Anolis sagrei: one gene and its partner. The protein of the gene in region 1 purifies or fractionates together with the protein of each later gene. This does not show direct contact. Links are inferred from orthologs where the notes say so. Each region holds a gene or a part of one and is shown on either strand. Other genes may lie near its edges.

Region 1 (16,429 bases):
GGATGTTATTATTGTTGTCTTAATTATATGTGATAGCAAGGAAACAGCAACACAGTGTCCTGAAACAGCTGCAGGAATAAGCATACATAGCTGACACATTTGATAGGGACATAGGAAACCACTTTACAACAGAACCACAAGTCCATTAGCTCAGAATTATCATCTGATGGGCTATGACCTGGAGAAACCCAGCATGCAAAATATGTGCTCTGATACTGATCTATGGCTCCTCCCATAGTTTGTCTGTAACCAACAGATCTTCCATTTTCAGTCTTTGTCTTCCTAAGCACTGCTATATTTAATTAATAAATTGGTATGAGCAAAGTGACTATAACCTTACATCTCCATCACTTCCCCGAGTTTGCTGAATGATTAATCTGCCTCATTCCAATTGTCACCTTCATTTTTCTGAATGCTCTTAATTCTTTCCTCTCTTTTTCAAGCCTTCTTTTTCCTTCTTCCACTTTTCTTCAAGATGCCCATTCTCCCCTTACATTATATGTCCCCTTCTACACTGCCATATAATGCAGATATAATCAAAGCAGATAATCTGGATTTTATATGGCAGTGTAGAAGGGACCTAAATTCTCCTCTTTCCATCACCACCCAATCCCTTCTTGCTCTTTCCTCCATGGCTTTTTTTTTCTACCAGTTTTTAGCATTCATACAATTCAGTATCTTTATCTGTCTGTTAATAACTTAAAACATTTGCCATATACATTAGCTATGGATTTAAATTCTTTGTCCTAACACAAATCTCATGAAACTGAAGATAATAATTTTATACTGTGAACAGAGAACTAAAAGGGCAAGAGAGCAATTTTCTGAAGGAACAGTTTATACAAGAGGAAAGATTTCTACTAGATTTCTACTAGTTGAAACATTCACACCTAGCTCCAGCAGACAAGAGTCCTTTGTTTCACCCTGGTCATTCCACAGATATATAAACCCTTTTTCCTAGTTCCAACAGACCTCACTACCTCTGAGTATGCTTGCCATAGATGCAGGCGAAACGTCAGGAGAGAATGCCTCTGGACCATGGCCATATAGCCCGAAAAAACCTACAACAACCCAATTTCTACTACACATTCTCTAAATGTGCTGAAATCTAACTTCCAGCTGGTTGAGGGTGACGGGAATTGCACTACATATCATATGAGAGTTGCTGGGTGGGGAAGGGTCTTGGAGCACAGTTGGCACTAAATAAACACCAGCTATTTCTAGCAGTCTTTTTTTCTGTTTCCTTATTCAGTCCTATTTCCATCAGACCCTATCTATCTACACTGCCATAGATTAATTTTAATTGCATTGAATCTGATTATATGAGTTTAGTGCAGACATGGGCCAACTTGGGCCCTCCAGGTGTTTTGGACTGCAACACCCACAAAACACCCGGAGGGCCCAAACTGGCCCATGCCTGGTCTAGTGCCACTTAATGCAATTCAATGCAGACTCTCCTACTTCCTCAGATTTCTTCTTTCCCTTTTCTCATTTCCAATTATTTGCCTGCCTTGAAATTCTTCCCCACTTATGGCAACTCTCTCACGGGATCTTCTTGGTAAGATTTGTTCGGAAGAGGTTTGCCATTGCCTTTCTGAGGATGAGAGAATGTGACTTGCCCAAGGTGATTAGTTGTATGGCAGCAATTTGCAGAGCCATAATCCAAACACACTACCTTTCAATTCTTTTCAAATTAATTATTTTATTCCTTTCTGACCCAAACCTTTTATTGAGGGTGTTTTATTGATCTTTTTTTTTTAACTTGTTGAAATGATTTTAAAATGATTAATGTAGGGATTAAGTATTTCTATATGTTTTTCTCATTTATTACATGAAATAAATGATTTGATTCCTACATAACCTTATTTCATTTACAGGCATCCTTTGGCCAAGGTGGCTCCTAAAGGTTGGCAATTAACAACATTTAAAGCACATAAAGTCCTTCATAGAGCATTTAAAAAAAACAATTTTTAAAAAAGATAAACAAAAAATTCCCAATAAAAAACTCTCTTCTAAAGTTCCAAATTTTCCATATTGCAGACAAGAGAACTAAAATTTAGAAAATTTTCAAAGACTGTGGTGCTACCTTTCTAGCATCGCTATTTAACAAAATCATAACAGAAAAATCACCCCCAAGCAGGGGCGGCTCAACCCAATGCAAAGTAAGCATTTGCAGTATAGTTGATTTTGCCCAGGGGCGCTCTTGAGGCGCTCTTGGGGGAAAATAGACCTTGACATATGGGAATTGTAGTTATTGGGATGTCTAGTTCACCTACAATCAAAGAGCATTCTGAACTCCACCGATAATGGAATTGAACCAAATATGGCACACAGAACTCCCACGACGAACAGAAAATATATATCAGTGATTGGTTGGGGCGGGGGAGGGGGGGGCAAAATACTTTTTGCTTACCGTTGAAAATTACCTAGTGCCGCCTCTGCCCCCAAGGACTGGACTACTAATATAACCAAACCAATTTGGAAGGGCAAAGGAGACATATGTAATTGCTCAACATACCGCCCAATACGCCTATTGTGTCATGCAATGAAAGTATTTGAAAAAATACTGGACAAAAAGCTAGTAAGTCACACAGCAGTTAACCAAATCAGTGTGGCTCTGTCTAGGGGTGTGGCACAATGGATGCAATATATGCTGTCCAGTTACTCATGGAAAAACATCAGGAAAGGAAACCAAGGAACTTTGTATTCCTTCATCTCAAAAAAGGCATTTGATTGGGTTCTTAATGACCTGATCTGGTGAGCACTACAGTCAAATGGAATACCTGAAGACTATGTAATATGGATAAAACTACTATACAATAATACAACAAGTATGGTCCACAGCCTTGCAGGGATTTCACCACCCTTCAACGTCACTGTTAGTATGCATCAGGGATCAGCACTCTTGCCATTACTATTCATACTCTGCATGGACACGGCTAAAGACTAGGAATACAAACGATCAGCAACAAAATGCAGGAAGCAAGGCTACGATGGTACGGCCATGTCATAAGAAGAGAATCATCAGCAGCACAAGCAGCACTGCATTTGGAGATTGCAGAACGCAGACGTGGACAAAGGCCAAAGAAAAGATGGATGGACACCATCAATGAAGACATGCATGCCGCCAACCTGAGACTTCAGGATGCCCAAAACAAAGCCCTGTGGAAACAGCAGTAACAATGCTAACAGCACCATGGGAAAATTGCTTAGAAAGAAGATGAATTGATAGGATACTGCATTTGGAGATTGCAGGACAGCGACCACATGGACAAAGGCCAAAAGAAAGATGGATGGACACCAAACTGAGAAGGCCCAAAACAAAGGATGGATGGGTGGCTGGATAGACAGATGGATACTACAGCACTGCATTTGGAGACTGCAGGACAGCAATCTCCAAAGGCCAGAGGATGCTAAAAACAAAGTCCCGTGGAAACAAATAACAGTCACAATGCTAACCCCTCCATGGGAAAATAGCTTAGAAAGAAGATAGATGGATGGATAAATACATACTACAGCATCATAATAAATTGTGGCAAGTTCTTAGTGGTATGGGCATACCAAATCACCTTGTGTCTCCCCTGAGGACTCTGTATAACGACCAAGTAGCAACAGTAAGAACTGACCATGGAACAACAAACTGGTTCATGATTGGGAAAGGCGTACAGGAGGGTTGTATACTCTCACCCAACCTATTCAACTTGTATGCAGAACACATCATGCAATGTGTTGGGCTTGATGAATGCAAGGCTGTGGTAAAAATTTCTGGAAGAAACATTAACAACCTTAGATATGAAGATGATACCACTTTGATGGCCAAAAGCGAGGAGGAGCTGAGGAGCCTTCTAATCAAGGTGAAAGAAGAAAGTGCAAAAGCCGGGTTGCAGTTAAACATTAAAAAACCAAGATTATGGCAACAAGAATTATTGATAACTGGCAAAAAGAGGGACAAAACGTGGAGGCAGTGACAGACTTTGTATTTCTAGGTGCAAAGCTTACTGCAGATGCAGACTGCAGCCAGGAAATCAAAAGACGTTTACTTCTTGGGAGGAGAGCAATGACAAATCTCAATAAAATAGTGAAGAGACATCACGCTGGCAACGAAGATCCGCATAGTCAAAGCAATGGTATTCCCCACAGTCACCTGCGGATATGAGAGCTGGACCTTAGGGAAGGCTGAGCGAAGGAAGATAGATGCTTTTGAATTGTGGTGTTGGATGAAAGTTCTGAGAGTGCCTTGGACCGCGAGAAGATCCAACCAGTCCATACTTCAGGAAATAAAGCCCGACTGCTCATTGGAGGAATGGATATTAGAGGCAAAGATGAAGTACTTTGGCCACATAATGAGAAGACAGGAAAGCTTAGAGAAGACAATTATGCTGGGGGAAATGGAAGTAAAAAGGAAGAGGGGCCGACCAAGGGCAAAATGGATGGATGGCATCCTTGAAGTGACTGGCTTGACCTTGAAGGAGCTGGGGTGGTGACGGCCGACAGGGAGCTCTGGCATGGGCTAATCCATGAGGTCATGAAGAGTTGGAAGCAACTGAACGAATGAACAACAACAACACAGCACTGCATTTGGAAATTGCAAGATGGCAACCATGTGGCCAAAGGAAAGATGGACACCATCAATGAAGATGTGCATGCTGCCAAGCTGAGACCTGAAGAAGCCCAAAACAAAGCCCTGTGGAAACAAATGCGTCACAATGCTAACCTCTCCATGGGAAAATAACTTAGAAAGAAGATGGATAGATACAATAGGTGGCTGGGTAAATAAATAGGTGTACTACAGCACTGCATTTGGAGATTGCAGGACCGTGGCTATGTGGACAAAGGCCAAAGAGAAGATGGATGAATACTATCAACGAAGACATGTGTGCTGCCAGCCTGAGAATGCCCAAAACATTGTCCCGTGGAAACAACAGCCACAATACTAACCCCTCCATTGGGAAAATAGGTCAGAAAGAGGAAGATTGAAAAGCTACTCTTCTCTCATTGCTTGTTCTCTCATAGAATCATAGAATCCTAGAGTTGGAAGAGACCTCATGGGCCATCCAGTCCAACCCCGTCAAGAAGCAGGAATATTGCATTCAAAGCATCCCTGACAGATGGACATCCAGCCTCTGTTTAAAAGCTTCTGAAGAAGGAGCTTCCACCACATTCCAGGGAAGAGAGTTCCACTGCTGAACAGCTCTCACAATGGCTTCAAACTACAAGAGAGGAGATGCCATCTGAACACGAGGAAGAACTTCCTGACTGTGAGAGCCGTTCACCACTGGAATTCTCTGCCCCGGAGTGTGGTGGAGGCTCCTTCTTTGGAAGCTTTTAAACAGAGGCTGGATGGCCATCTGTCAGGGGTGATTTGAATGCAATATTCCTGCTTCTTGGCAGAATGGGGTTGGACTGGATGGCCCATGAGGTCTCTTCCAACTCTTTGATTTTATGATTCTATGATTCAGGAAGTTCTCCCTCATGTTCAGATGGAATCTCCTTTCTTGTAGTTTGAAGCCATTGTTTCTTGTCCTAGTCTCTAGGGAAGCAGAAAACAAGCTTGCTCCCTCCTCCCTGTGGCTTCCTCTCACATATTTATACATGGCTATCATATCTCCTCTCAGCCTGGGACATGTGGTGCAGGGCAGGAATATGTTGCCTGCAACAAATCCAGAAATAATGTCTTCCTGGTCAAGTTTACGCTGGATGACAATTTTTTCAACATTTTCATTTGGCAGAATGGGGTTGGACTGGATGACCTTTGGTATTTCAAAGAATCATAGAATCAAAGAGTTGGAAGAGACCTCATGGCCCATCCAGTCCAACCCCATTCTGTCAAGAAGCAGGAATATTGCATTCAAATCACCCCTGACAGATGACCATTCAGCCTCTGTTTAAAAGCTTCCAAAGGAGCCTCCACCACACTCCGGGGCAGAGAGTTCCACTGCTGAACAGCTCTCACAGTCTATTTATTTATTTATTTATTTACTTTGCTTATATACTGCTGTTCTCAGCCCAAGGGCGACTCACAGCGGTGTACAACATAGAAAAAACAAAATCCAAAATTCAAGACACAATCTAAAATATCCATCTAGCAATAACCAAAAACATCATCATCAAAAACGTCAAGAAGTTCTTCCCCATGTTCAGATGGAACCTCCTTTCTTGTAGTTTGAAGCCATTGCTCCATTGTGTCCTAGTCTCCAGGGAAGCAGAAAACACGCTTGCTCCCTCCTCCCTGGGGCTTCCTCTCACATATTTATACATGGCTATCATATCTCCTCTCAGCCTTCTCTTCTTCAGGCTAAACATGCACAGCTCCTTAAGCCGCTCCTCATAGGGCTTGTTCTAGAGACCCTTGATCGTTTTAGTCGCCTTCCTCTGGACACATTCCAGATTGTCAATATCTCTCTTGAATTGTGGTGCCCAGAATTGGACACAATATTCCAGACGTGGTCTAACCAAGGAGGAATAGAGGGGTAGCATGACTTCCCTAGATCTAGACACTATGCTCGTATTGATGCAGGCCAAAATCCCATTGGCCTTTTTTGCCGCCACATCACATTGTTGGCTCATGTTTATACATGGCTATCATCTCCTCTCAGCCTTCTCTTCTTCAGGCTAAACATGCACAGCTCCTTAAGCCGCTCCTCATAGGGCTTGTTCTAGAGACCCTTGATCATTTTAGTCGCCCTCCTCTGGACACATTCCAGCTTGTCAATATCTCTCTTGAATTGTGGTGTCCAGAATTGGACACAATATTCCAGGTGTGGTCTAACCAAAGCGGAATAGAGCATGGGGAGCATGACTTCCCTAGATCTAGACACTAGGCTCCTATTGATGCAGGCCAAAATCCCATTGGCTTTTTTTGCTGCCACATCACATTCCTGGCTCATGTTTATACATGGCTATCATATCTCCTCTCAGCCTTCTCTTCTTCAGGCTAAACATGCCCAGCTCCTTAAGCCGCTCCTCATAAGGCTTGTTCTCCAGACCCTTGATCATTTTTCCTCCTCACTTTTCCCCCTCATTTTATAAATTCTGGAAACCCAAATCCCTTCTAGCTTCCCCATCTTGTTTTTAGAAGCCCCTTTCTTGATTTTTTTCCCTTTTTAACCGCCTCCATTCTTTCTAATCGCTTATTTTTCCTCCCACCCCTTCCACCTCCCTTCAGGCAACAACAGGCGCCATTTTCCCTCGCTCCCTCCCAAAACACCCCCTCCCTGTTCTGATTCTCCTTACGCCCCGCCCACTCCCCGTCCGGACCAATCGCCTTCCTCCGCCGAGGCAGGGGCGGGCGAGGAAACCCCATTCACGAGACTGGGGAGAGAACGGAGTCAGTCAACAGACCAACTGCTGCAATATCCCTCCGCGTATGGCAAGCATAAAGTAGTCCCTCAAGCCTGGCTCCTTCCCCTGATTTGGATAAGGCTCTGTGACGTTTCTGTCACGGGGAGGGGTCTCTTTCCAAGCCGAGGGGTGGGTGGGACACGCCTCTGGGGCGCTCCGTGCCTCCCCCGCCCTCCCTCTCCGAATGGTAAATTTCCATACTCCTCCGCGGCGAAAGGCGAAGGAGGGAGGGGGGAGCGGGAAGTAGTTCCGGCCAACGGAACGGGTATAAAAGGCGGCTGGCGCGGAGGCTCTGCCTTTTCAGTTGAGGACAGCGGCGGGAAGCAGAACATGTCAGGCGGCTCCGCGGACTATAGCAGGTATCGCAGGAGGCGGGAAAGGGGAGGAAGGAAGCGTTGAAGGCCATTGTTTATATTCATATATACTTTATAATACATATATTTATAATATATATATATATTAAAGAGGAGCTGTTTGAAAAACAGGGCTCCGACCCCCCCTCCTTTCCCAGGCCAAATGGTTTCTTCCAGGCGGGCAGTGCGAGTGTGTGTCTCGGGAGGCCCAAATTGGAAGATACCACTTTTTAAGTAGGGGGGAACGGCAGGGAAGCCGAACCTGTGTCTTTGAAGGTTTGCAACGTCCCCGATTCCCCTCCTTTTCCAAGGCGCATGGTTTCGCCCTTGTGTGTATGCATATATGGGGAGGCCCTAATCGGAAGAGACCACTTTGGCGCAGGGAGAGGAAACAGGGAGGGGCTCCGAGACTTGCGCAACCAAGGGAGGGAGGGGGTGGAGCTCTCGCGAGAATTCGGTGGAAAAGGGAGGGGGGAGGAAAAGAAGGCCGAGAACGCACGAGCCAGGCACGCTGACGCAGCGCGCATGCGTCCTTTCAGTCCTCTTGATTTCCTCTCCCCCACCTCTTCCATTTTATTTATTTATTTGCCACACGTTTCTTATTTATTTACAGTATTTGTATACTGCTTTTCTCACCCCGAGGGGGGACTCAAAGCGGTTTACACATAAGTTATTTATTTATTTTATTTACTTTGCTTGTATACCGCAATTTCTCAGCCTTGTAGGCGACTCAACACGGTTTATGACAAGAGCAATAGTCAATCCAACAGCATACAAAATTTAAAAACCATTAACAGCATGATATACAAAATGACACATCAATAACAACACGTTAACGTCTCGTAACTAGAATCGTGATCCAATTCGTCTTCCATAATTCCGTTTCCTATATTCATCGTGTACATTGCATTGTTTAACCGGACGCCTGTTCGAACAGCCAGGTTTTTAGTTTTCTTCGAAACACCATTAACGAAGGGGCTGATCTAATGTCCGTGGGCGTTCCACAGCTGAGGGGCCACCACAGAAAAGGCCCTGTCCCTCGTCCCCGCCAGCTGTGCCTGTGATGCAGGCGGGATCGAGAGCAGGGCCTCCCCAGAAGATCTTAGAGTCCTGGTGGGTTCATAAGCAGAGATACGTTCGGATAGGTAGCTTGGGCCAGAACCGTTTAGGGCTTTAAAGGCCAACACCAGCACTTTGAATTGAGCCCGGTAGCAAATCGGCAGCCAGTGGAGCTGGTGCAGCAAAAGGAGTTGTATCCTCCCTGCGCTCCGCTCCTGTTAGTATCATGGCTGCCGCACGTTGGACTAGTTGGAGCTTCCGAGCCGTCTTCAAAGGCAACCCCACGTAGAGAGCAAAAAATTCAATGCCAGTATAAACAGTTACCATCATCATCTTTAATTACTTATTAATCAGCCTGACATGACAGCATTGAGTGACATTACCTTCCCACCGAAGCAGTACCTATTGATCTATGCACATTTCCATATTTTTGAACTGCTAGGTTGGCAGAAGCTGAGTTAATAGCAGGAGCTCACCCTGCTTCCTGGATTCGAACCACTGACCTTTCAGTCAGCAAGTTCAGCAGCTCAGTGGTTTAACCCACTGTGCCAGTGGGGGCTCCTAGATCACAGGGTCATATGCAAAGAATCAAAAGTTGGGAAACTTAGTTTTGGGGGTTATAAAAATACCTCAGTGGGAAATATAGTCTTAAAAAGTAACTTCTCAAGGGGAGTGTTCTCTCTAAGGATGTGCTAGGTTCTTCAGGCGATTTTACAGTGTACCTCCCCTGAAAGCTACCATGGAGTTGTGTTGAAAAAACTATTACGTTTCTAAAGGATACTTTATTAGAAATTGCTAGGTCTTCTAATGCAAGTCTATGGTATACTGGGAATGAAAGTAAGGTAGTTACACCCTGGAGTGTGGTGGAGGCTCCTTCTTTGGAAGCTTTTAAACAGAGGCTGGATGGCCATCTGTCAGGGGTTGGCAGGGGGTTGGACTGGACGGCCCATGAGGTCTCTTCTAATTCTTTGATTCTATGATTCTAATGGATCCCCTGTGGCCATGGGATTTTTGCACATATGTAGCCCTTTACTACAATTATCCTTATTAGTGAGGCTGGTAGAGGCAGGCCTTCCTTATTGGTGGCAACTTCAGAATCACCCACATTGAATTGTATCAATGACGTGTGCAAATGGGCTGTCCTGTGGGCAGTCTCCTCCTCATCATAATCATATTTAATTACTTATTAATCGCCCTCCATCTGAGAATGCTCTAGGCGATTTACAGCTAAATTGTAAAAGATAAAATACATACATACAAAAATTAAAAATTGACAGATCATATAAAAGGCAATTTAAAACTAAAAATAATGACTTCCAGGTTTAAATCCATTTTTGCAGTGCTGCTAGAACAAGACCCCAGGGCTTTGTTCCTTCATCTCCCAGAAGCCTTACCTACCTTTGCAAAAGGTTCCTCCTGGGCTAAATGAAAATACAGGGGGTTGTTTTCTTTGGCAGGCAGATCATTGTGGAGTTCTTAATTTATAATCTGCCTTTTCCCTCTCATGGAACCTAAGGATATATACAACACATTTGTTCTAAATCGGGTGTGGGCCAACTTTGGCCTTCCCTTCAGGTGTTTTGGATTCCAATTCCCACAAAGGGGTGCTTCGAATGGAATATTCCTGCTTCTTGGCAGGGGGTTGGACTGGATGGCCCATGAGGTCTCTTCCAACTCTATGATTCGAATTGTGGGAGTTAAAGTCCAAAACACCTGGAGAGAAAGCCAGTAATAGTATGAAAGCTGGGTCCGGAAGCTCTGGGCGTTACACTGTTTTTGCTTTTCTCCTTCGGAAGTGCTGTTTGTACAACGCAGAACTGGACACATATTATAGAAGAAAGAGTTCTTTAATGGTAAAGCCCTAATCCTTAACTGTAACCCAAAATCTTATCTTACCCTACCCTACCCTACCCTAAACCTTACCCTAACCCTCCCCTCCTTTCTATCCTTCCACCAAATGCAACTATGAATTATGTTCCCGCCCTCAGTGTGCCACTCCCCCCTTCCCGTATTCACAACCGCCATTGCGGAATGTGCTTAATGCTCGGAGCCCCCCCCCCCCAGCTGTCATACTATCACCAGAAGGCCAAAGTTGGCCCCCACCTGTTCTAAATAGTGCTTGGTTGAATTCTACTATAGTCTTTAGGTTGATTTTAGTACTGTTTGCTGCTCCCAAGTCTTTTCTTAAGACAGAAAAGCAGCACTATAAATAAATAAGATCACAAGCTGCTCCCCGTAATGCAAGCATTTGCAAGACGTATGTTCTTCACAAAGTTGTCTGGGCTGATGAAAAGGGGAACCATTGTCTAGTGCAGGCATCCTCAAACTTTTAAAACTGAGGTCACAGTCCCTCAAACTGTTGGAGGGCCGGATTATAATTTGAAAAAGAAAACAACACATGAATTCCTATGTACACTGGACATATCTTATTTGTAGTGCAAAAAACACTTAGAAACTACAAAAATTAAAATTAAGAACAATTTTAACAAATATAAACTTATTAGTATTTCAGTGAGGAGTGTGGGCCTGCTCTTGGCTGATGAGATAGGATTGTTGTGTGCTTTCAAGTCATTTCAGACTTAGGTTGACCCTGAGCGAGGGCCGGGTCTATGACCTTCTAGGGCTGTATCTGGCCCCCTGGCCTTAGTTTGAGGACCCCTGGTCTAGTGCCCTTGAATGGATAGCAGCAGGGCTGTGAAATTCTATTAAATTCAGTGCCTCAGACATCTAATTCAAAGTCCAGACTGAAGCTACAGAATCATAGTGTGATAAGGGTTAGAAGAGATGATGTGGGCCTTCCATTCCAGTCTCTTGCCATGCAGAAATTCAAAATCCAAGCACTATTGGCTGATGTCCATCCAGGTGTTGTTTAAAACCTCCAGCGCAGGTGACAACACCTCATGCCAACAGCTCTTACCTTCAAGAAATTCTCTGTAATGCTTAAGTGGAATCTCTTTCCTTGCAATTTGAATCCATTGCTCTGTGGTTTAGGGCCCTTCCACACAACCATAGAACCCAGAATATTTGTGTTGAACTGAGGCCTCTTCCACACAGCTGTACAAAATACAACATTATCAGCTTTGTACTGGTTTATAGGACAGTGTGAACTCATAAACCAGTTCAAAGCATATATTGTGGATTATCTGCCTTAATATTCTGGGTTATATGGCTGTGTGGAAGGACCCAAAGCCACAGAGCAAAGGATTCAAATTACAAGAAAAGAGATTCCACTTAAGCATTGTGGAGAATTTCCTGAAGGTAACAGCTGTGTGCTGGAGTCCCCTGCTCTGGAGGTTTTAAACGCTGAGACCACAACACCGCCATATATCCCAGTTCAGAGCAGAAAATGTGGGATTTTATTCAGCTGTGTGGAAGGGGCCCTAGTCTCCGCTGTGAGGAAAACAAGCCTGCCCTTCTCAATGTGTCATCTTTTCAAATATATAAACAATGGCTGTCATGTCCGCTCTCGGCTGCCTGTTTTCCAGAAGCCCTGGCCCAGTCATGAATTCTGGGAGATGAAGTCCAAAACAAAACATTTGAGTGCAAAGGAAAGACTGACCATTTTCTGCAGGAGAGCCAGTGTTGTTTTGGGATGTGAGAAATCAGGTTCCAGTCTTTACTGTGGTGACCTTGGGTCATCACTTCCCTCCTTGGCCTAACCTTCTCCTGAGGCTGCTAGACACTTCCATTATTATGACCTCTGTATGAAGGCAGGATGTTTCTTCATTAAGACAGTACATGTTGAACAAGTGTTGTCGGGCAAGGGCCTGATTTTGCCAGTTTGTCCACGTGTGACTATTGTGCATGTACCTTTGAGTCTCCTGTTGACCTTAGACCTTTGGCATGATCTATATTCTTTTCTTTTGGTTACCCACATAAGAAGTTATTCTTAATGGAAGCTACAGTTGAGGTAGGCTGCAGTATGAAACAATTATTAGCAGCCCTTGCTGTATGTAGTTGTGCACATCACATAAGAGTAGTAGATTCACATGAGTGAGTGAAGATATACAATTGTATTGATTAGATCAAGGGTCCTCAAACTACGGCCCGGGGGCCGGATACGGCCCTCGCTCAGGGTCAGCCTAAGTCTGATATGACTTGAAAGCACACCACCACAACAACAACAATCCTATCTCAGCCAAAAGCAGGCCCACAATCTCTGTTTAAAAGTCTCCAAAGAAGAAGCTTCCACCATACTGTAAGGCAGAGAGTTCCACTTTTGAATAGCTCTTCTTGTTATTTATGTCAAGATCACACTGCATTAAAGTTCTAGTTTGTGCTAAAGTATTCCTACTGCTAAAAACATTTAACAGCATCATATAAGTTGATGGTTTGGTAGGGTTTTATCAAATGCAATAGGATACATTGTTACTTAGTATATGAAAGATATAATATTGAGTTACCCATATCATTCATGGAATGCTAAGTGATAGCTTTCCAAAGACCACATTGTAATCATTGTGCTTGAAGTTGCAGCAAATTTCCATTAGGTTGTATGAAAATTTCAGGAGCCTTTATTAGACCAACTAGAAGGCAGTTGATTCTTTGTGTGGCCGTTAAGAGACCGAGTTTCATCTGGAAAAGATGTTTTTTTAAATTGCAGGATAATTTTAAGAGTCAAGTCTCCATGTTGTCAAACGTGCCTAGTAACCCTGAGCTCACTGGGAATAGTGAAGGCAATAGAAGAGCAATCAGATTGGGATTTGCTATTTTTTAGAAATATAGAAGTACATTATTTCTGGATTTTTAAATGTATTTAATTGTATAGGGCAGTAGTTTGGAGTGTTTAGTTTGGTATTGCAATTAGAATAAGTCACTATTGCAAGAGGTTGAGAACTCTGCCTGGCTGACAAGATTTTATTTCTTTTGACAGAGACCATGGCCCTGAGGGAATGGACCCCGATGGCGTCATTGAGGTTAGTAAATGACCCTTCTTTCATTTATCTGTATGGAAGATGTTGATGAGTGAAATAAAATGTATTTCATTTCCTCCTTGCAGAGCAATTGGAATGAAATCGTTGACAATTTTGATGATATGAATTTAAAAGAGTCCCTTCTCAGGGGAATTTATGCTTATGGTTTTGAGAAGCCGTCAGCTATCCAGCAGCGTGCTATTATTCCATGTATCAAAGGTAGGCAAATATTGCAGCAAATAATGAGTATTAGCACCATTCTTACTGGTTTGAGTTCTTTGCATTGGGGTGGAAGTAAAGCCCATCTTTCCTTGAAAAGTGAGATGATGGTATACCATCTTTCGGGACTGACCTGAAATGGAGAAAACTGTGTAACTGCTGATCACTTGTAAAGGAATTGGAACTTAAACTGTGTCCTAATGTTGTATGGGAGCAGTAAATATCTATCCTTTTTTTAGGGTATGATGTGATTGCTCAAGCTCAGTCAGGTACTGGCAAGACAGCCACATTTGCTATTTCCATCCTGCAACAGTTGGAGATTGATCTCAAGGAGACCCAAGCACTAGTGTTGGCTCCTACCAGAGAACTGGCACAACAGGTATTGATAGTGTAGTTAAACAGCTGCTTACATGTTGCATGGGTTTCAGGTTTCACAACCGTAGGAGAACTCACATTTTTGGCAGATCAGTTAATGGCTTAGCTCTGGGGTGCAAATATGGTGAACACACCTCTGCCACACTACATTCCTCTATTACATACATGGAGAAGTGTTAGCTGTGGTGATGAACGGGCCAGTGATTCTGGCTTCAAAAGACAGTGCAGCTTTGCAGGACTTGATAGTAGGAATATCCAGAATATATAATGAGACTAAAACGATTTAAATTGAGAAAACATATACTGTTCAGGTCTTCAAAATGCATGCAGTTGTGCAACATGAAACTGCATGTGATCAGTTGACTTGTCTGTGCTGTTTGTGTATATAATCTTATGTGTGCTTCAGTCTCTTCTGTATTGAGCAGCATTTTTGCATTCAGCACATTTTCATTAAAATATGCATTTTTGTGAATACAGCGTTGAATATTGTGATAGAAGCAGAAGTCACCTTAACAGTCCTCGGGGGAGTTCATATTTGGAATTCTCAATTGGTACTAAAATGTAATACATTTTCTTAGGAGGCAAGTAATTAAATGAGGATGACCCAAGTTGATTTTTAGAATGAAGTTTGTATAGTTCTTTCCTCATAAAGTAGCACACTGAAAATAAGCTTTCAGCATAGAAATGTGTCCAAATGATCCATGTGTTTCAAACTCAGCATTGCAGTACCTCCTCTGAGGAAATAAACATATCTCGCTGGTCATTTCCAGTTCTTATTCTACACTGCAGGCTGTTTTGTTATGCAACAAGGATAGGGCCAGTATAGGTATGATTTTTTTTTTACTTTTAAAGGCATATTCTGCCCAAGCAACTTCTAAAAACATTTCACCGCTTTGCATGTTTAATAGTCAATAGCCATTATTTTTTCTTTTGTAGCAGTCGGAGCATTGCTACTGCTTTGCTGGGAATGCTTTTGTGCATTTCTGTGAAAAGTCATTATGTATTGTGTGGGGAAAGAACCAGGATATCTGCCTGGAATGGGAAAATATCTGAATCTGAGGGCACTTTGCACATCAGATGTGATAGGTTTACTACTCAGATTGCATTTGTAGTTGGGAACTACTTAGCAGCCTGAACATAAGTCATTAGAGTTGAGTGTACTTGTCACTAGAAACCTGTTTTTGACCAAATTCCTTTGAGAGTTCCATTGATACAATTTTAATTCAATCCATTGTTTCAGATCCAAAAGGTTATTCTGGCTCTTGGTGATTATATGGGCGCAACTTGCCATGCTTGCATTGGTGGCACAAATGTTCGCAATGAGATGCAGAAGCTGCAGGCAGAGGCACCACACATCGTGGTGGGGACTCCAGGACGTGTATTTGACATGTTGAATAGGCGCTACCTGTGTAAGTAACCAAGTTCTAACTATTTACCATAATCCTTGGGAACAAGTTTGAACAGTATCAATCAGTATTAGAATAAGTAGCACCTCAAGAATAGTATTGCATATAAACGTCTGCAAGATCAATTAACTCGTCGTTTAGCTGTTGCTCAAGAAATTAAGACTTTCTGAGAAGAGTTCTTGGCCTACAAAATACATTTCCCTTTCTTGTAGCGCCTAAATGGATCAAAATGTTTGTCCTGGATGAGGCAGATGAGATGTTGAGCCGAGGGTTTAAGGATCAAATCTATGAAATTTTTCAGAAGTTGAGCACAAACATTCAGGTAAAGTAAAGACTTGATGCCAAGATGGTACAGTCTCTAGTGATGCAGGTAAAGTTACAATGTAGCCGTGAAGTGCTGTATTGTCGTTCCCCCTGCACAAAGCAAAAAATGTTTCTTTACTATCCTTGTCTGTTTCGACTCCACGGCAGACAGGGACGCTTGGTTTCATACATTACCTTATTGATGACCAGGGTCTGAGCATCTTCAGGCTACATCTCTTAACCAGAGCATCTTGTTCCAGGTTGTGTTGCTGTCTGCCACTATGCCCATGGATGTGTTGGAAGTGACCAAAAAGTTCATGCGAGACCCCATTCGCATTCTGGTGAAGAAAGAGGAGTTGACTCTTGAGGGGATCAAGCAGTTCTACATTAATGTAGAGAGAGAGGTAAGAAAGGGCCGCCGGGGTAAGCTGGGCAACCCTTCTTGTACCAAGCACTGTGC
Region 2 (16,348 bases), on another chromosome or scaffold:
GGTGGGCATGGACCTTGAGTTTGGGAGTTGTAGTTACTGGGATTTATAGTTCACCTACAATCAAAGAGTATTCTGAACTCCATCAATGATAGAATTGGGCCAAACTTCACCTATAGAACCCCCATACTAACAGAAAATACTATAATAATAATAATAATAATAAACTTTATTTGTACCCCGCTACCATCTCCCCAAGGGACTCGGTGCAGCTTACATGAGGCCAAGCCCAAAGTACATCAAACAAAACACCAATAAACACAACATCAATAAACAATCAATAAAATACAAATCATATAAATCATATAAATCACATAAACAAAAAACAATCAATAGTGATATACACAATTTTAAAAATGGCCGGGCCAAATGTAATAGATTAAAATTGAAAATATGCTGACGTGAACAAGGTAAAATATAACTAGGATAGGATTTTTCAGAGAGAAATGAGAGATGGTCTTTGGTGACCCCCCCCCTGACGCCCCCTCGCGACCCCCCCAAGAGTTCCGACCCTCGGGTTGAGAAACGTTGATCTACAGAGATACTCGCAGGAACACCTCAGCAAACAAGAGCCCAAAAGCGGCAGGCTAAAACCTGGAACCTCAATCAGTGGCTGAGACTGGATGAGAAACTCCCTCCTGTGCACAGAGAGGACTGGACAACTAGGAAGGCACTGAACAGGCTGCGCTCTGGCACCACGAGATGCAGAGCCAACCTTAAGAAATGGGGCCACAAAGCAGAGTCCACGACATGCGAGTGCGGAGAAGAGCAAACCACAGACCACTCACGACAATGCAGCCTGAGCCCTGCCACATGCACCAGGGAGGACCTTCTCACAGCCACACCAGAGGCACGCCAAGTGGCCAGCCTCTGGTCAAAGGACATTTAGCATCATGCCAAGTTTTCAACCTTTGTGTTTTTAAAGACATGTTAACTTTACCTTCAACTCGCTTCTGACACAATAAGTAAACAAATACCTGGAATATTCAACTCAATGCAGGGCGGTCTTCACAGAAGCTGTCTTCATAGACCTGCCAGCAGCTTATGATACTGTAAACCACCGCCTCCTCCTGAGAAAAATGTATAATACCACAAAGGATTACCACCTCACCCGCCTCATAGGAAACCTGCTACAAAACAGGAGCTTTTTTGTTGGGTTCCAGGGCCAGAGAAGCAGATGCGGAAACAGAAAAACAGCCTACCTCAGGGGAGCGTGCTTGCTCCATCCATGTTCAACATTTACACAAATGACCAGCCACTGCCAGAAGGGACAGAGTGTTTCATCTATGCTGACGATCGTGCCATCACCGCTCAAGCAGGGAGCTTTGAAATGGTTGAACAGAAGCTCTCTGAAGCTCTAGGTGCTCTTACTGCCTATTACAGGGGAAACCAGCTGATCCCTAATCCACCTAAAACACAGACATGTGCCTTTCACCTCAAGAACAGACAAGCATCCCGAGCTCTGAGGATTACCTGGGAAGGAATCCCACTGGAGCATTGCAGCGCACCCAAATACCTGGGAGTCACTCTGGACCGTGCTCTGACCTACAAGAAGCACTGCCTGAATATCAAGTAAAAAGTGAGCGCTAGAAATAATATCATAAAAAAGCTGACTGGCACAACCTGAGGATCACAACCAGACACAGTGAAGACATCTGTCCTTGCGCTATGCTACTCTGCTGCTGAGTGTGGAACACATCTCACCATGCTAAAACAGTGGATGTGGCTCTTAATGAGACATGCCGCATTATCACGGAGTGTCTGCGCCCTACACCACTGGAGAAATTACACTGTTTAGCTGGTATTGCACGACCTGACATCCGCCAGGAAGTAGCAGCCAATAGTGAAAGGACCAAGGCAGTGACATCTCCAGTTCATCCCTTGTTTGGGTATCTGCCAGCACGTCAACGACTTAAATCAAGACATAGTTTTCTAAGATCTACAGAGACACTCGCTGGAACACCCCAGCAAGCGAGAGTCCAAAAGTGGCAGACTCAAACCCAGAACCTCAACCAATGGCTGATACCAAATGAGAGACTCCCCCCTGGGCACACAGAAAACTGGGCAACTTGGAAGGCGCTAAACGGACTGCGCTCTGACACCACAAGATGCAGAGCCAACCTCAAGAAATGGGGCTACAAAATGGAATCCACAACATGCGAGTGCGGAGAAGAGCAAACCACTGACCACCTGCTGCAATGCAACCTGAACCCTGCCACATGCACCATGGAGGACCTCCTTGTGGCAACACCAGAGGCACTCCAACTGGCCTGATACTGGTCAAAGGACATTTAATCAACTACCAAGCTTGCAAACTTTGTGTTTTGTCTGTCTGTTTGTTTTGTTCTGTTAAAAATGTAATACAATTGTCTGGTTGCCCCTGACACGATAAATAAATAAATAAAATAAAATGCAGGGCTGAGCCCTGGGAAGAGAGAGACGTAGGGCCAATGGACCTGCAGGCGGGAGACGCAGGACTATTCTCCATTGATAAATGGCACCCATTAATGCCCTGCCAGCCCTGCCTGGCCTGTGCTGCGCACGGCATTCAGAAAGCCAACTTCCTTCCCAGGAAAGAGTCCCTTCCAAAGAGTCCCTTTTTCTTGTTCTGCAAACTGTGCGCAGGCCCTTTATTTGGCCATTTCCTGTCCGCTTCTTCAGAAAAGCAAAAGAAAGCATGTCAAGGGCGGCTTCAAAGTCTGCTGAAAAGAAGGGTGGGAAAAGCACCCCGCCCACAAAGAAAGGGGGCAAGCCCTAGCCCTCACCCCCAATGCCAAAAGAAGGGCCAAAGCCAGAAAAAGGAACTGCTTGGAGGAAGGAAAAGCAGGCCAAAGCAAGGACTTCCCTTAAGAAGGAAGGAGATTATTCTCTCCTGGGACCGGGAAGAATGGCTTTCCCCAAGGTGCCCCCAATATGCCGATGAAAATGTAGTCTGTGCTCATTCAGAAGAAGACCTGCTATAGAACTCCAATATGCCGATGATAACGTAGTCTGTGCTCATTCAGAAAAAGCCGTCATATAGAACTCCAATATGCTGATGATAACATGGCCTGTGCTCATTCAGAAGACTTGTTATAGAACTCCAATACGCTGATGAAAATGTAGTCTGTGCTCATTCAGAAAAAGACCTGATATAGAACTCCAACATGCCGATGAAAACATACTCTGTGCTCATTCAGAAAAAGACCTGATATAGAACTCCAATATGCCAATGCTAACATAGTCTGTGCTCATTCAGAAGACCTATCATAGAAGTCCAATATGCTGATGCTAATATAGTCAGTGCTCATTCAGAAGACCTATTACAGAATTCCAATATGCAAATGATAACATAGTCTGTGCTGATTCAGAAGACCTGTTATAGAACTTCAATATGCTGATGATAATGTAGTCTGTGCTCATTCAGAAAAAGACCTGCTATAAAACTCCAGTATGCCAATGATAACGTAGTCTGTGCTCATTCAGAAGAAGACCTACGTCTGTTACAGAACTCTAATATGCCAATGATAACTTAGTTTTGTAGATTCAAGGGGGTCAATGGAGTTCATCGCAAGGAAATACAACATTTCCAACACAACGTGACCCAAATAATAAAGATGGTTGCCAACCCAAACAAACCAGAACGTCATTGAACATCCCACATCCAACACAGGCAGGCAACAAACACAAGCACAGCAGGAGGTGGCCACAGAAATCCATAAACAAAGTGAAAGAGAAACTATAAGTCTGCAAAACTTCATTCGGAAAACAGGGAGGAGGCAGTCAAAGGCAGGACATAGGGAAATTAAACCCAAACAGTAAACAGAGACACCCTTGCGACTCTGAACCCACCTCAAGCAATAACAACAATAATAGAGTTGGACGGGATCCCAACAACCATCCAGTTCGCGCCCAATCCAGCCAGGCAGGAAGACACATCAAAGCCCTCCTGATGGGTGGACATCCAGCTCTGTTTGATGATGGAAGGGTTGGAAGGGACTCCAGGATCATCCAGTCCAACCCCAATTCCGTGAGGCAGGAATACATATCAAAGGTGTCCATCCAGCTCTACTTAATGATGATGATGATGATGATAATGATAATAATAATAATAGAAGTCTAGAGTTGGAAGGGACCTCAATGGTCATTCAGTCCAACCCTAATTCTGCCAGGGAGGAAGACACCATCCAGGCCTTCCCGACAGGTGGTCATCCAGCTCTTCTTGATGATGATGATGATGATGATGATAATAATAATAATAATAATAGATCCCCAGAGTTGGAAGGGACTCCAATGGCCTTCCAGTCCAAACCTAATTCTGCCAGGGAGGAACACACATTCAAGCCCTCCCAACAGGTGGCCATCCAGCTCTGCTTGATAACAACAACAGAACCCTAGCACTGGAAGGGACCCCAATGGCCATAAAGACCAACCCTAATTCTACCAGGCAGGAAGACACCATCTAAGCCCTCTCAACAGGTGTCCATCCAGGCCTGCTTGATAGTATTAATAATAATAATAATAATAATAATAATAATAGCACCCTAGAGTTGGAAGGGGCTCAATCCAACCCCACTCACTCCTGCCAGGCAAGACGACAGCATGCAAGCCCTCCCAACAGGTGGCCACCCAGCTCTGCTTGATAACAATAACAATAATAATAATGGAACCCCTGAGCTGGAGGGGACTGCAATGGCCATCCAGTCGAACTCCACCATTTCTGCCAGGGAGGAACACACATCCAAGCCCTCCTGACAGGTGGCCATCCAGCTCTGCTTGATAACAACAGAACCCTAGCACTGGATAATAATAATAATAATAATAATAATAATAATAATAATAATATCACCCTAGAGTTGGGACTCAGTCCAACCCCCTCACTCCTGCCAGGCAAGAAGACACCAGGCAAGCCCTCCTGACATAATAACAATAAAAATAACTATTATAGAAGTTGGAAGGGACCCCAATGGCCACCCAGTTCAATCCCAATCTTGCCAGGCAGGAAGACACCAGGGAAGCCATACAGCCCTGCATGATAATAACAATAAAAATAACTATTATATAAGTTGGAAAAGACCCCAATGGCCACCCAGTTCAATCCCGATCTTGCCAGGCAGGAAGAAACCAGGCAAGCCCTCCTAACACGTGGCCCCCCAGCTCTGCTTGATAATACCAATAACAATAACAATTATAGAAGCCTAGAGTTGGAAGGGACCCCAATTGGCCATCCAGTTCAATCCCAATCTTGCCAGACAGGAAGACTCCATGCAAGGCCTCCCGACAGGTGGCCACCCAGCTCTGCCTGATAATAATAATAATAATAATAATAATAATAATAATAATAATAATAATGGAACCCCAGAGTTGAAAGGGACCCCAGTGGCCACCCAGTTCAATCCAAATCCTGCCAGGCAGGAAGATACCAGGGAATCCCTCCTGACAGGTGGCCATACAGCCCTGTATGATAATAACAATAACAATTATAGAAGTTGGAAGGGACCCCAATGGCCACCCAGTTCAATCCCAATCCTGCCAGGCAGGAAGACACCAGGCAAGCCCTCCCAACAGGTGGCCACACAGCTCTGCTTGATAATACTAATAATACTAATAATAATAATGGAACCCTAGAGTTGGAAGTTCAATCCCAATCCTGCCAGACAGGAAGACACCAGGCAAGCCCTCCTGACAGGTGGCCATACAGCCTTGCATGATAATAACAATAACTATTATAGAAGTTGGAAGGGACCCCAATGGCTATCCAGTTCAATCCCAACTTGCCAGACAAGAAGACACCATGCAAGCCCTCCCGACACGTGACCCCCCAGCTCTGCTTGAAAATAACAATAATAATAATAATAATAATAATAATAAAAAAGCTGGAACCTAGAGTTGGAAGGGACCCCAATGGCCATCAAGTTCAAACCCAATCTTGCCAGACAGGAAGACACCAGGCAAGCCTTCCTGACAGGTAGCCATAATAACAATAATAATAACTATAATAATACTACTACTAATGATAATAATGGAACCCTAGAGTTGGAAGTTCAATCCCAATCCTGCCAGGCAGAAAGACACCAGGCAAGCCCTCCTGACAGGTGGCCATACAGCCCTGCATGATAATAACAATAACAATTATAGAAGTTGGAAGGGACTCCAACGACCATTCAGTTTAATCCCAATCTTGCCAGGCAGGAAGACACCAGGGAAGCCATACAGCCCTGCATGATAATAACAATAACTATTATAGAAGTCGGAAGGGACCCCAATGGCTGCCCAGTTCAATCCCAGTCTTGCCAGACAGGAAGACACCAGGCAAGCCCTGCCGACATGTGACCCCCCCCCCCCCAGCTCTGCTTGAAAATAATAATAATAATAATAATAATAATAATAATGGAATCCCAGAGTTGGAAGGGACCCCAATGGCCACCCAGTTCAATCCCAATCCTCCCAGGCAGGAAGACACCAGGCAAGCCCTCCTGACAGGTGGCCACCCAGCTCTACTTGATAATAACAACAATAATGGAACCCTAGAGTTGGCAGGGACGCCAATGGCCACCCAGTTCAGGCAGGAAGACACCAGGCAAGCCCTCCTGACAGGTGGCCACCCAGCTCTGCTTGATAATACTAATAACAATAACAATTATAGAACCCTAGAATTGGAAGGGACTCTAATGGCCACCCAATTCAATCCCAGTTTTGCCAGAAAGGGAGACACCATGCAAGCCCTCCTGAAAGGTGGCCCCCCAGTTCTGCTTCATAACAATAATAATAATAACAACAATATAATAATGGAACCCTAGAGTTGGAAGGGACCCCAATGGCCACCCAGTTCAGGCAGGAAGACACCAGGCAAGCCCTCCTGACAGGTGGCCATCCAGCCCTGCTTGATAATAATAACAACAATAATAATGGAACCCCAGAGTTGGCAGGGACCCCAATGGCCACCCAGTTCAATCCTACTCCTGCCAGGCAGGAAGACACCAGGCAAGCCCTCCTGACAGGTGGCCACCCAGCTCTGCTTGGTAATAACAACAATAATGGAACTCCAGAGTTGGAAGGGACCCCAAAGGCCACCCAGTTGAGGCAGGAAGACACCAGGCAAGCCCTCCTGACAGGTGGCCATACAGTCCTGCTTGATAATAATAACAACAATAATAATAATGGAACCCCAGAGTTGGCAGGGACCTCAATGGCCACCCAGTTCAATCCTACTCCTGCCAGGCAGGAAGACACCAGGCAAGCCCTCCTGACAGGTGGCCATCCAGCCCTGCTTGATAATAATAATGACAACAACAATAATGGAACCCCAGAGTTGGCAGGGCCCCCAGTGGCCCTCCAGCCGGACCCCCCTCCCTGTCCCCTGGATCCAGAGGCGGGAAGGATACGGTCCCCCCTGCAGGGCGCGGATGGGGGGCGGGGGCGCGGCGGCGGCGGAGGGGGGCGGCGGGGGGGCGGCCGGGAGCGGGGAGAGGGGCGGCGGGGGAGGTGGCGGAGGCGGCGGGAGCGCTCCCCCGGCGCCGCCCCCCGCCCCTGCTCCCGGTGCCCCTCCTCCCGCCGCCCCCGCCGCCCCCGGTCCCGCTCCGGGCTTGAGGGCCGTCTTGTGCGGGAGGCTCATGGCGAGGCGGAGCCAGGCCCAGGCCGGCGGCGGCGGGGACAGCCCAGCGGGCCACCACCCCCGGCCGGTCTCCGTGGCAACGCGCCCTGCGCTCCTCCCCCTCCCTCCCTCCCTCCCTCCCCGCCCCCTCCCTCCCGCCTCCCTCCCTTCCTTCTCCTCAGGCCGCGCCGAAGCCGCCGCTCGGGCCGCCGCCTCGCCCGCTATTCATGAGGGAGGGCCGCCGGTCCCGGCGAGAGAGAGCGGCCTGCAGCCCGGAGAGAAGGCCCCGCCGACGGTGGCGGCGCTCGGGCGGGCGATGCCGACGGATTCTCCTCACGGACCGAGCGCGGCCTCCAACATGGCGCCGGCGGCCGCCTCCAGCAGCAGTCCGGCAGGACGAAGATGACGACGAGGGCAAGCGACGCCGCTCGGCTCTTCGGCAATCTCCGGAAAAGGCCGACCTCGCTCGCTCACTAGCTCCGCCTCCTTTCAGCTTTCGCGCAGGCGCATCCTCGCCTTGCCGGCTTCCTTCACCCCGCCTCTTTCCAGCTTTCCTTCAACCCCGCCTCCTTCCAGCTTCCGCGCAGGCGCAATGTAGAACCCCCGCCTTCCTTCCAACTCCGCCTCTTTCCAGCTTTTGCGCAGGCGCACTCTAGGACCCTCACATTCCCTCAACCCCGCCTCCATCCAGCTTTCGCGCAAGCGCTCTGTAGAACTCCCGCATTCCTTCTAACTCCGCCTCTTTCCAGGTTTCGCGCAGGCGCACTCTGGGACTCCTGCCTGCCTTTCACCCCGCCTCCTTTCAGCTTTCGCGCAGGCGCACTGTAGAACCCCCGCCTTCCTTCCAAGTCCGCCTCTTTCCAGCTTTCGCGCAGGCGCACTCTGGGACTCCCGCCTTCCTTTCACCCTGCCTCCTTCCAGCTTTCGCGCAGGCGCACTATAGAACTCCCGCATCCCTTCCAACTCCGCCTCTTTCCAGCTTTTGCGCAGGCGCACTTTGGACCGCCCGTCTTCCTTCACCCCGCCTCTTTTCAGCTTTCGCGCAGGCGCACTCTAGGCCTTCTTGCTTAAGCGACTGAGGGGGAAAAGGAAGGGACGCGAGGAATTGTGGGAGTTGAAGTCCAAAACACCGGTGGGGATACACTCAGATAGATAGATAGATAGATAGATAGATAGATAGATAGATAGATAGATAGATAGATAGATAGATAGATAGATAGATAGATAGATAGATAGATACCATATTCTCAGCTTTGGAAAGACTGAGGCCTACCACACGCTGGGAAGCCTGTTTTGCAGTGGTTCTCGTTGCCATGGCAACACAGCAGGGCCCACTTGTAGGGGAGGCCTGCACGCTAAAACCGAGGCCTACAGGCCACCAAGAGGCCTGCATATGCTTCTGCAAAGGTTTTGAAAGTGGCTTGTAGATCTTCTGAATGAGCACAGACTACGTTATCATTAGCATATTGGAGTTCTATAACAGACATTGAAGACCTTCTGAATGAGCACAGACTGCATTATCATCAGCATACTGGAGTTTTATATGACATTGTAGGTCCTCTTCTGAATGAGCACAGTCTACATTATCATCAGCATACTGCAGTTCTATATCAGGCATTGAAGAACTTCTGAATGAGCAGACTGCATTATCATCAGCATACTGAATTTCTATAAGACATTGTAGGTCGTCTTCTAAATGAGCACAGACTACGTTATGATCAACACACTGGAGTTCTATAACACATTGTAGATCTTCTGAATGAGCACAGACTGCATTATCATCAGCATACTGGAATTTTATAAGACATTGTAGATCCTCTTCTGAATGAGCAGTCTACCTTATCATCAGCCTACTGGAGTTCTCTAACTTTCGTTGTAGGTCTGAATGAGCACAGACTGCATTATCATCAGCATACTAGAGTTCTATAACAGATGTTGTAGGGACCTTGATTTTGGCTCTCAACCCACTGAGGATTCTACAATGTGATTCTACAATGAGAAAGAGTACTCCAAGTCCCATGTGTCAACTAGAGAGGGAGAAATTTGGGATGAAACCCGGGATCTGGATCCATTCAACGGCAAGGCAGCTCCATTGGTCTGTTTTGGGAAGCGGAAATGTGAGCGTAAACAAAGAAATACAAACATGGTCGTATAAAAGCTTTGTTTTATTGCATTTGCCAGGAATTACAGTCATCCAAAACAGAGATAAAGAACAAAGAGAGATAAAAATAAAGCTTTTCTTTCCCTTCCTTTTCCTCCTTGCATGGATATATTACATAATTTGAACATGGAATACTACAAATCCCTGATGGGATTTCCCCAACAATCCAAACCCTGATGGGATTCATAGTTTCCGCAGAGTTATGAGCTCCTTTTCTTGATTTCACATTGGGGAAGTGGAGAATTAAGGCTGTGATGGGCCATTCTGGCATTAAGGCACAGGAAGGGAAGTCAAACCGGCAACCCGTCACTCTTCTCTTGTCATTTCCATCCCTTATTGGGGTGTTTGGATGCATCTTTCCAGCCCACTTTGGCAAGGCACTCTTGGATGAAACGTACGGGAAAGACATTGAGGTGCCGCGTGGCCAAAGAGGCCTCCAAATCCTACGAAATCCAATCCAGCCAATCGCCTCCTTCTCCTATGGAGATCACAACATTTCCCTTTTTGTTTTTACCTCCAGTCCTTATATTATGGACTCTTGAGTGGTGCTGTGGTCATAGGGTTCCCAAGCCTGGAGTCAACACTAAGTGCACATACACATATATCAATCACTTACAAATAGGTATCACAAAGCAGTTGCTCTACTCCGAACTCAAGAACAGAAAACAACATGTTGGAGGACAGGAAAAGAGATTGAAAGATGGGCTCAAAGCCAACCTTAAAAACTGACATAGACACTGAGAACTGGGAAACCCTGGCTTGTGAGCGCTCCAGTTGGAGGTCAGCTGTGACCAGCAGTGCTGCAGAATTTGAAGAGGCACAAATGGAGGGCGAAAGAGAGAAACGTACCAAGAGGAAGGCGCGTCAAGCCAACCCCGTCCGGGACTGCCTCCCACCTGGAAACCGATGCCCTCACTGCGGGAGAAGATGAAGGTCAAGTCATCTACTGACCCACCCTGGAGGACTATCCTACTTGGACAACAAGGGATTGCCTAAGTGAAGTGAAGGTATCACATATTAATGTATTATATATATATATATATATATATACACACACACACACACACACAGGATCATTTCAGACTGCATATTTATAGCATTATGACCCCACTTGAAGTATTTTATAAGTGATTTCTATTTATGAGTGTGTGTATGTAAGTAAGTGTGTGTGTGTATACACACACGTGCACACGTGCATTTAGGGCCACTTCAAACTGCACATTTCTATTTATGAGTGTTTGTGTGTGTGTGTGTGTGTATAGATCGTGTGTGTGTGTATATATACACACACACACACACACACATGCATTTAGGAGGCCATTTCAAACTGCACATTTATGACATGACTCCACCTGAACTGCCTTACAAGTAATTTCTATTTATGAGTGTGTGTGTGTGTATATATATATATACACACACACATATATTGTGTGTGTATATATATACACACACACACACACTCGTGCATTTAGAGGGCCATTTCAAACTGCACATTTATGACATGACTCCACCTGAACTGCCTTACAAGTAATTTCTATTTATGAGTGTGTGTGTGTATACACACACACATGCATTTAGGGCCATTTTAAACTGCACATTTATGACATGACTCCACCCGAACTGCCTTATAAGTGATTTCTATTTATAAGTAAGATTATATATATATACACACACACACACACACACACACACACACACATATAAACATACATGTGTGCACTTAGGGCCATTTCAGACTGCAAATGTATGGCATTATGACTCCACTTGAACTGCATTATAAGTGATTTCTAAGTGAGATTATATGTACTATGTATATGTATATTTACACACACATATAATATACACACACATACTTGTCCATGAGGGGCATTTCAGCCTGCATAGTTATGGCATTATGATTCCCCTTGAACTGCCTTGGCAACACTTATAAGTGATTTCTATTTATCAGTGTGATGTGTATGTGTATATGTGTATACACAAACACACACATTACTGCCTTGCCCTCCTGCTTCCAACTCCAGGTCGAAAAACGAAGCTCAAAAACGGGGAGAAAAGGTCTTTCACTCCAGACATTGACACAAATGGAAGTCCAGCCCCAGTTTGGGGTCACAGAAGGGGCCGGAAGAGGAGGACGAAATGAAGAATTGCCACGATTCTGCGGGAGGAAGAGTGGGAAGAGTGGGAGCCTCGGATGGAAACGATCAGTTTTTTGAACCTGAGAGTCCGCTGGTGTTTTTTTGTTTTTGTTTTTGAAGTTCTTCAGAAGGGTTTACTCAACAACCTTCATGTACTCAGCATATAGGGACATAACTCAGTTACAGATAGGTTTGAAGTCGTTTCTCTGTGCAGATCACACAGGGCGTTTTTCTTACAATCAACAGCAACTGAGAGACCGCTGGTGAGTGGGTTTGGGGCCCAGGCGACCCTTCTTTCTCCGCCTCATAACCGCTTGCCTTCCGCCTCTTTCCCGGACCGTGCGGAAGTGGACAGGAGAAGCGTCGGCCGGAGAAGACGCCGGAGGCACTTGGGAATTCCGAAGGACATGGAGAAAAAGAACGAAGGTCCCTTTTGGAAGCGATATCCCTGCAGAGCGGCTCCCCCAAATCCCAATTCCCTGGGAGTCGTAGTCCACAAAGTAACGGATTCCCACGCTTTTAGGATGGAAGGGAGTTGGGTCTTCCGCTCCAGGCAGCCGTCCTTTGGCTTCAAGCAGGATGCTCTCGCGCTCGAAAAGTAGAAATAAATACCGATCCATTCAACTTTATACACGTTCCCTGAAATTTCCAGTGTTCTGCAAGATTCAAAATAATAATAATAATAATACTATTTCTATACGTTGGTGTTTGTGTCTATGACGCAGGCCTCGGTGAAGGGTGTGAGCGTAAAGGGGTTTCCTCCTCCTCTCTTCTTGGTGGATTTCCCATTCAAGGCAAGAAGAGTCTATATTCCCTGCATAAAAATACCAGCCTTTTGGGAACGGATGGCGATCCAAGCGTCCTCCAGCATGATGGGATACGCCGGACCGCCGAGAGGATATAGGCAAGGCCACCAATAAGTCTCGAGTTTGGAGTCTTCCCTGTGGGCAAAGGCTTCCCGAGAGAGAGAGAGAGCGAGCGACAGAGAGAGGAAGGCCCGAAACGGCCCGGTGTGGCCCTTCTTTCCTCCCGGAAGGGGAGCTCCTTCACCAGACTTCACACTTCCTGGCGGGGTTCATGGGGGACCCCGGGCGGCAGTGGAAATGCTCCGAAAACTCCCTTGAGTTGGAGAGCGTCCCCACCACGCGGAAGCGGGAAGGACTGTGCGAGTCGGTCACCAGGCCCTCGTGCGCACTCTCCGGCGTGCGGACTGAGCACCAGACCTGAGAGAGAAGGAGAGAAAGAATGGAAGGAGGCAGCCCCCATCATCATCATCATCATTATTAAGCACAGCTTGACTATCTGTCGGGAGGGATTGGATTGTGTCTTCCTGCCTGGCAGAATGGGGTTGGACTAGGGGGCCCTTGGGGTCCCTTTCATCATCATCATCATTGACATCATACTCTATGTTTGGTGTATGCTTTTTTAAATAATGGTGTGTTGTGATATATGTATTTTCCTGTTCATGTTGGTATGTTTTGACTATGTCGTCCCCTGCCTCGAGCGCTTAGGAAGGGGAGAGTATGTCACACCAGAGAGTGAGGAAGGAGGCAGCAACCTACTCACTGGTAAGCAGCCCACTCCGAGTGAACCCATGGTGTGGTGGAGTGTGAGTTTTAATCTACAGTTATGTTTGATTATAGATAGTTGTTTAAAAGGGTAAGTATCTAAACTAGCATAACTGGGGGGGGGGGGGGAGAGGGATGGTAGCCAGCTCAACTCACTTTGAGCTGGGTTGCCATGGAAAAAGGGGCGGAGCCAACTGCCACTTGGCAGGGCAGCCATTTTAAAACGGGCAGTCTGTAGTCAGCGAACTACAGGGAGCGCTGGTTCTGTTGTATGTTGAGAGCCAGTGGGGTAGTCTGTAGTCTGAGATCTGCAGGGAAAGGCTGATTCTGCTGTGTTGAGAATCAGGAAAATTTTGGCTTTTAGCCTGTGTGGTTTGGATGGGTCGAGTTGACTTGTTTATATTGTTGGTCAGTGTGTGAGCAAAAGGGGGAGAGAAGCCTGGTGGGAATCTGTACTGCAACAGAAATGGCATGGGGAAAGGAAAGGCTTGTACCTGAAGTAATCAATTAAAGAAAGAAACACATTTTGAAGGAGAATAAGTTTAAAACCTGTTTAGTGAAAGGAATAGTTCTCTTAAGAGTTGTTTTATGAAATGTATTAAATGTAACCTCTGAAGAAATGTGCCTCTAAGAGCTAAGAAACATTGAAACCATCAAGCTTCTTCTATACTACAATAAACTTGTTACAGTTTCTTCTAAAGCCAAGTCTCTGTTACAAATACTTTCAAGTTAAGCCACGCTACACATTCAAGAAAGACCAAATCAACGTTACAAGCTATTAGTTATGTTATCAATTTAGTAAGTCCTTACAAAGTAGTGGCTCCTTTACAAACTTTTACCAATTGGTGGCATCGTTACTAATTGGGTGCCTCCTTTACACAAGGGCTTAAGAGGTGCCGGATAAATGCACTCTCTGGTTGCTTGAGAGTATAATGCTCAAATCACTATGCCATGCTAGCTCTCGTCTAGATAGATGGATGGAATGAGGGGATAGATAGATAGATAGATAGATAGATAGATAGATAGATAGATAGATAGATGGTGGACGAGTGGACGGATGGACAAACAGATATATAGATATAGATTGGTAAATGGATGGATGAATAGATGATAGATAGCCGTGGATGGAAAGAACAGATGGATAGATAAAATAAATAGAATAGATGGATAATAGCCATAGACAGATGGAAGGAATGATACAGATGGAGAGATGAATGGGTGGAAGAATGGATAGATAGATAGCCATAGATGGATAGGTAGATGATGTACCAATAGACACATATATATATATGGATGTATATATATAGGAGATAGATAGATAGATAGATAGATAGATAGATAAATAGATGGATGGATGGATGGATAGATAGATAGATAGATAGATAGATAGATAGATGAATGGATATATGTTACACAGAGATGGATGAATGGCTAGATAGAATAAATAGAATACAATATATTGACAACAGCCGGTAGGCTGTTAGGAATTGTGGGAGTTGAAGTCCAAAACACCTGGAGGGTCAAAGTTTGCCCAGGCTTGAGATAGATGATTGGATGGATAGAATAGATAGAGATGGATGAATGGATAGATAGAGTAAATAGAATACTTACTACTTACTATTCTATTACTTTGAATAGATTGATAACAGCCATTGACGGAGGGTTGGACAGACACAGATGGATAGATAGATAAAACAGAGATGGAGGGATAGATTATATGGGTAGATAATGTGCATTATTATTATGATTACTGTTTGGCAGAGTACCTGGGCGAACCCAACGAAGAAGAGCTGGTAGTTGGTGAGGCTGAGGGCTGGGAGGGTCTCCTCCTCCCCATTCTTCCGCACCCAGTTCTGATAAGCCTGAATACGCAAAAAAAAAGAAAAAAAGAAAAAAAGGAGGACGATGTAGGAGCCGACCCTCAAGATTCCCATGACTCCCCCGCCTCAAGTGATCCACCTGAGCCTGGACGAGCCCCCATTTGAGCCGAGGCCTCAGGGGTCTGCAGGGGAGAGCTTTCTCCTTGACTGGCACCCTTCTGGACAGGATATTGTGGTAGTTGTTGCGCCCCATTGGGTAGCGGCCTCACCCGGTAGGCGGCTTTGAGTCCTCCGTTGTCGGCGATGTTCTCCCCGAGGGTGTGCTTCCCGTTGACGGCCTCCCCGTTGACAGAGTAGTTGCCGTACTGCGCCACCATGCACTCCGTCTGGTGCTTGAAGGCCTCCGCCGAGGAATTCTTCCACCAAGGACGCAGGTTGCCCTCCTTGTCGTACTCCCGGCCTGCAAAGGGAATAAATAGGATCGGAAGGAGGCAGGCCCCATCATCATCATCACTATTAAACCACCTTGAGTTGCCATGAGGCTGAGAAAGGTGGTATACAAATGCAGTAAATAAATAAATAGATATTAGGCATATCTTGGATGACTATCTGTCGGGAGGGATCGGATTGTGTCTTCCTGCCTGGCAGAATGAGGTTGCACTGGGGGGCCCTTGGGATCGATTTCATCATCATCATCAACATCATACTCTATGTTTGGTGAATATTTTTAAAATAATGGTGTGTCATGATATATGTATTTTTCTGTTTGTGTTGGTATGTTTCGACTTTGTTGTCCCCTTCCTCGAGTGCTTAGGAAGGACAGATAACAAATAGGATGCATTATCATCAGTATGTTGCTGATGGCGATCTCCTTCCTCACCTTGATCATCAAAGGCGTGGGTCAGTTCGTGGCCCACTACCACGCCGATGCCGCCAAAGTTGAGGGCCCTGCAAAAGAAAAAGGAAGGAACGAGAGGAAGGAAAACAAAGCAGCCTATGAGAATAAGGTTGAGGGAGTTCCCGTCAATTCCCTGGAAACCCAAAAGGCCCGAAATACTCAGGAAACAATTGATTTCTCGGCCTTTGGCTTGATT

What was found.
Region 2: the proteins of EIF4A2 (region 1) and EIF4G3 purify together in Homo sapiens (affinity purification with mass spectrometry; 3 studies listed by BioGRID and IntAct, with this or other methods). This does not show direct contact. The link is inferred for Anolis sagrei from reciprocal best matches to the Homo sapiens genes EIF4A2 and EIF4G3.

The regions. Positions count from the first base shown.
Region 1 is NC_090023.1:259,964,571-259,980,999, reverse strand, and holds the start of EIF4A2 (eukaryotic initiation factor 4A-II), read left to right. Parts: upstream 1-7,597; 5' UTR 7,598-7,671; coding exon 7,672-7,700; intron 7,701-13,626; coding exon 13,627-13,669; intron 13,670-13,752; coding exon 13,753-13,885; intron 13,886-13,982; exon of another isoform or gene 13,983-14,054; intron 14,055-14,124; coding exon 14,125-14,264; intron 14,265-15,500; coding exon 15,501-15,669; intron 15,670-15,878; coding exon 15,879-15,988; intron 15,989-16,030; exon of another isoform or gene 16,031-16,161; intron 16,162-16,229; coding exon 16,230-16,373; intron 16,374-16,405; exon of another isoform or gene 16,406-16,429. UniProt on the Homo sapiens protein: ATP-dependent RNA helicase which is a subunit of the eIF4F complex involved in cap recognition and is required for mRNA binding to ribosome.
Region 2 is NC_090033.1:7,270,553-7,286,900, reverse strand, and holds the start of EIF4G3 (eukaryotic translation initiation factor 4 gamma 3), read right to left. Parts: upstream 7,681-16,348; 5' UTR 7,592-7,680; coding exon 7,362-7,591; intron 1-7,361. Other genes in the region: ECE1 (endothelin-converting enzyme 1), read right to left, coding at 12,913-13,089, 15,201-15,296, 15,524-15,714, 16,135-16,202. UniProt on the Homo sapiens protein: Component of the protein complex eIF4F, which is involved in the recognition of the mRNA cap, ATP-dependent unwinding of 5'-terminal secondary structure and recruitment of mRNA to the ribosome. Functional homolog of EIF4G1.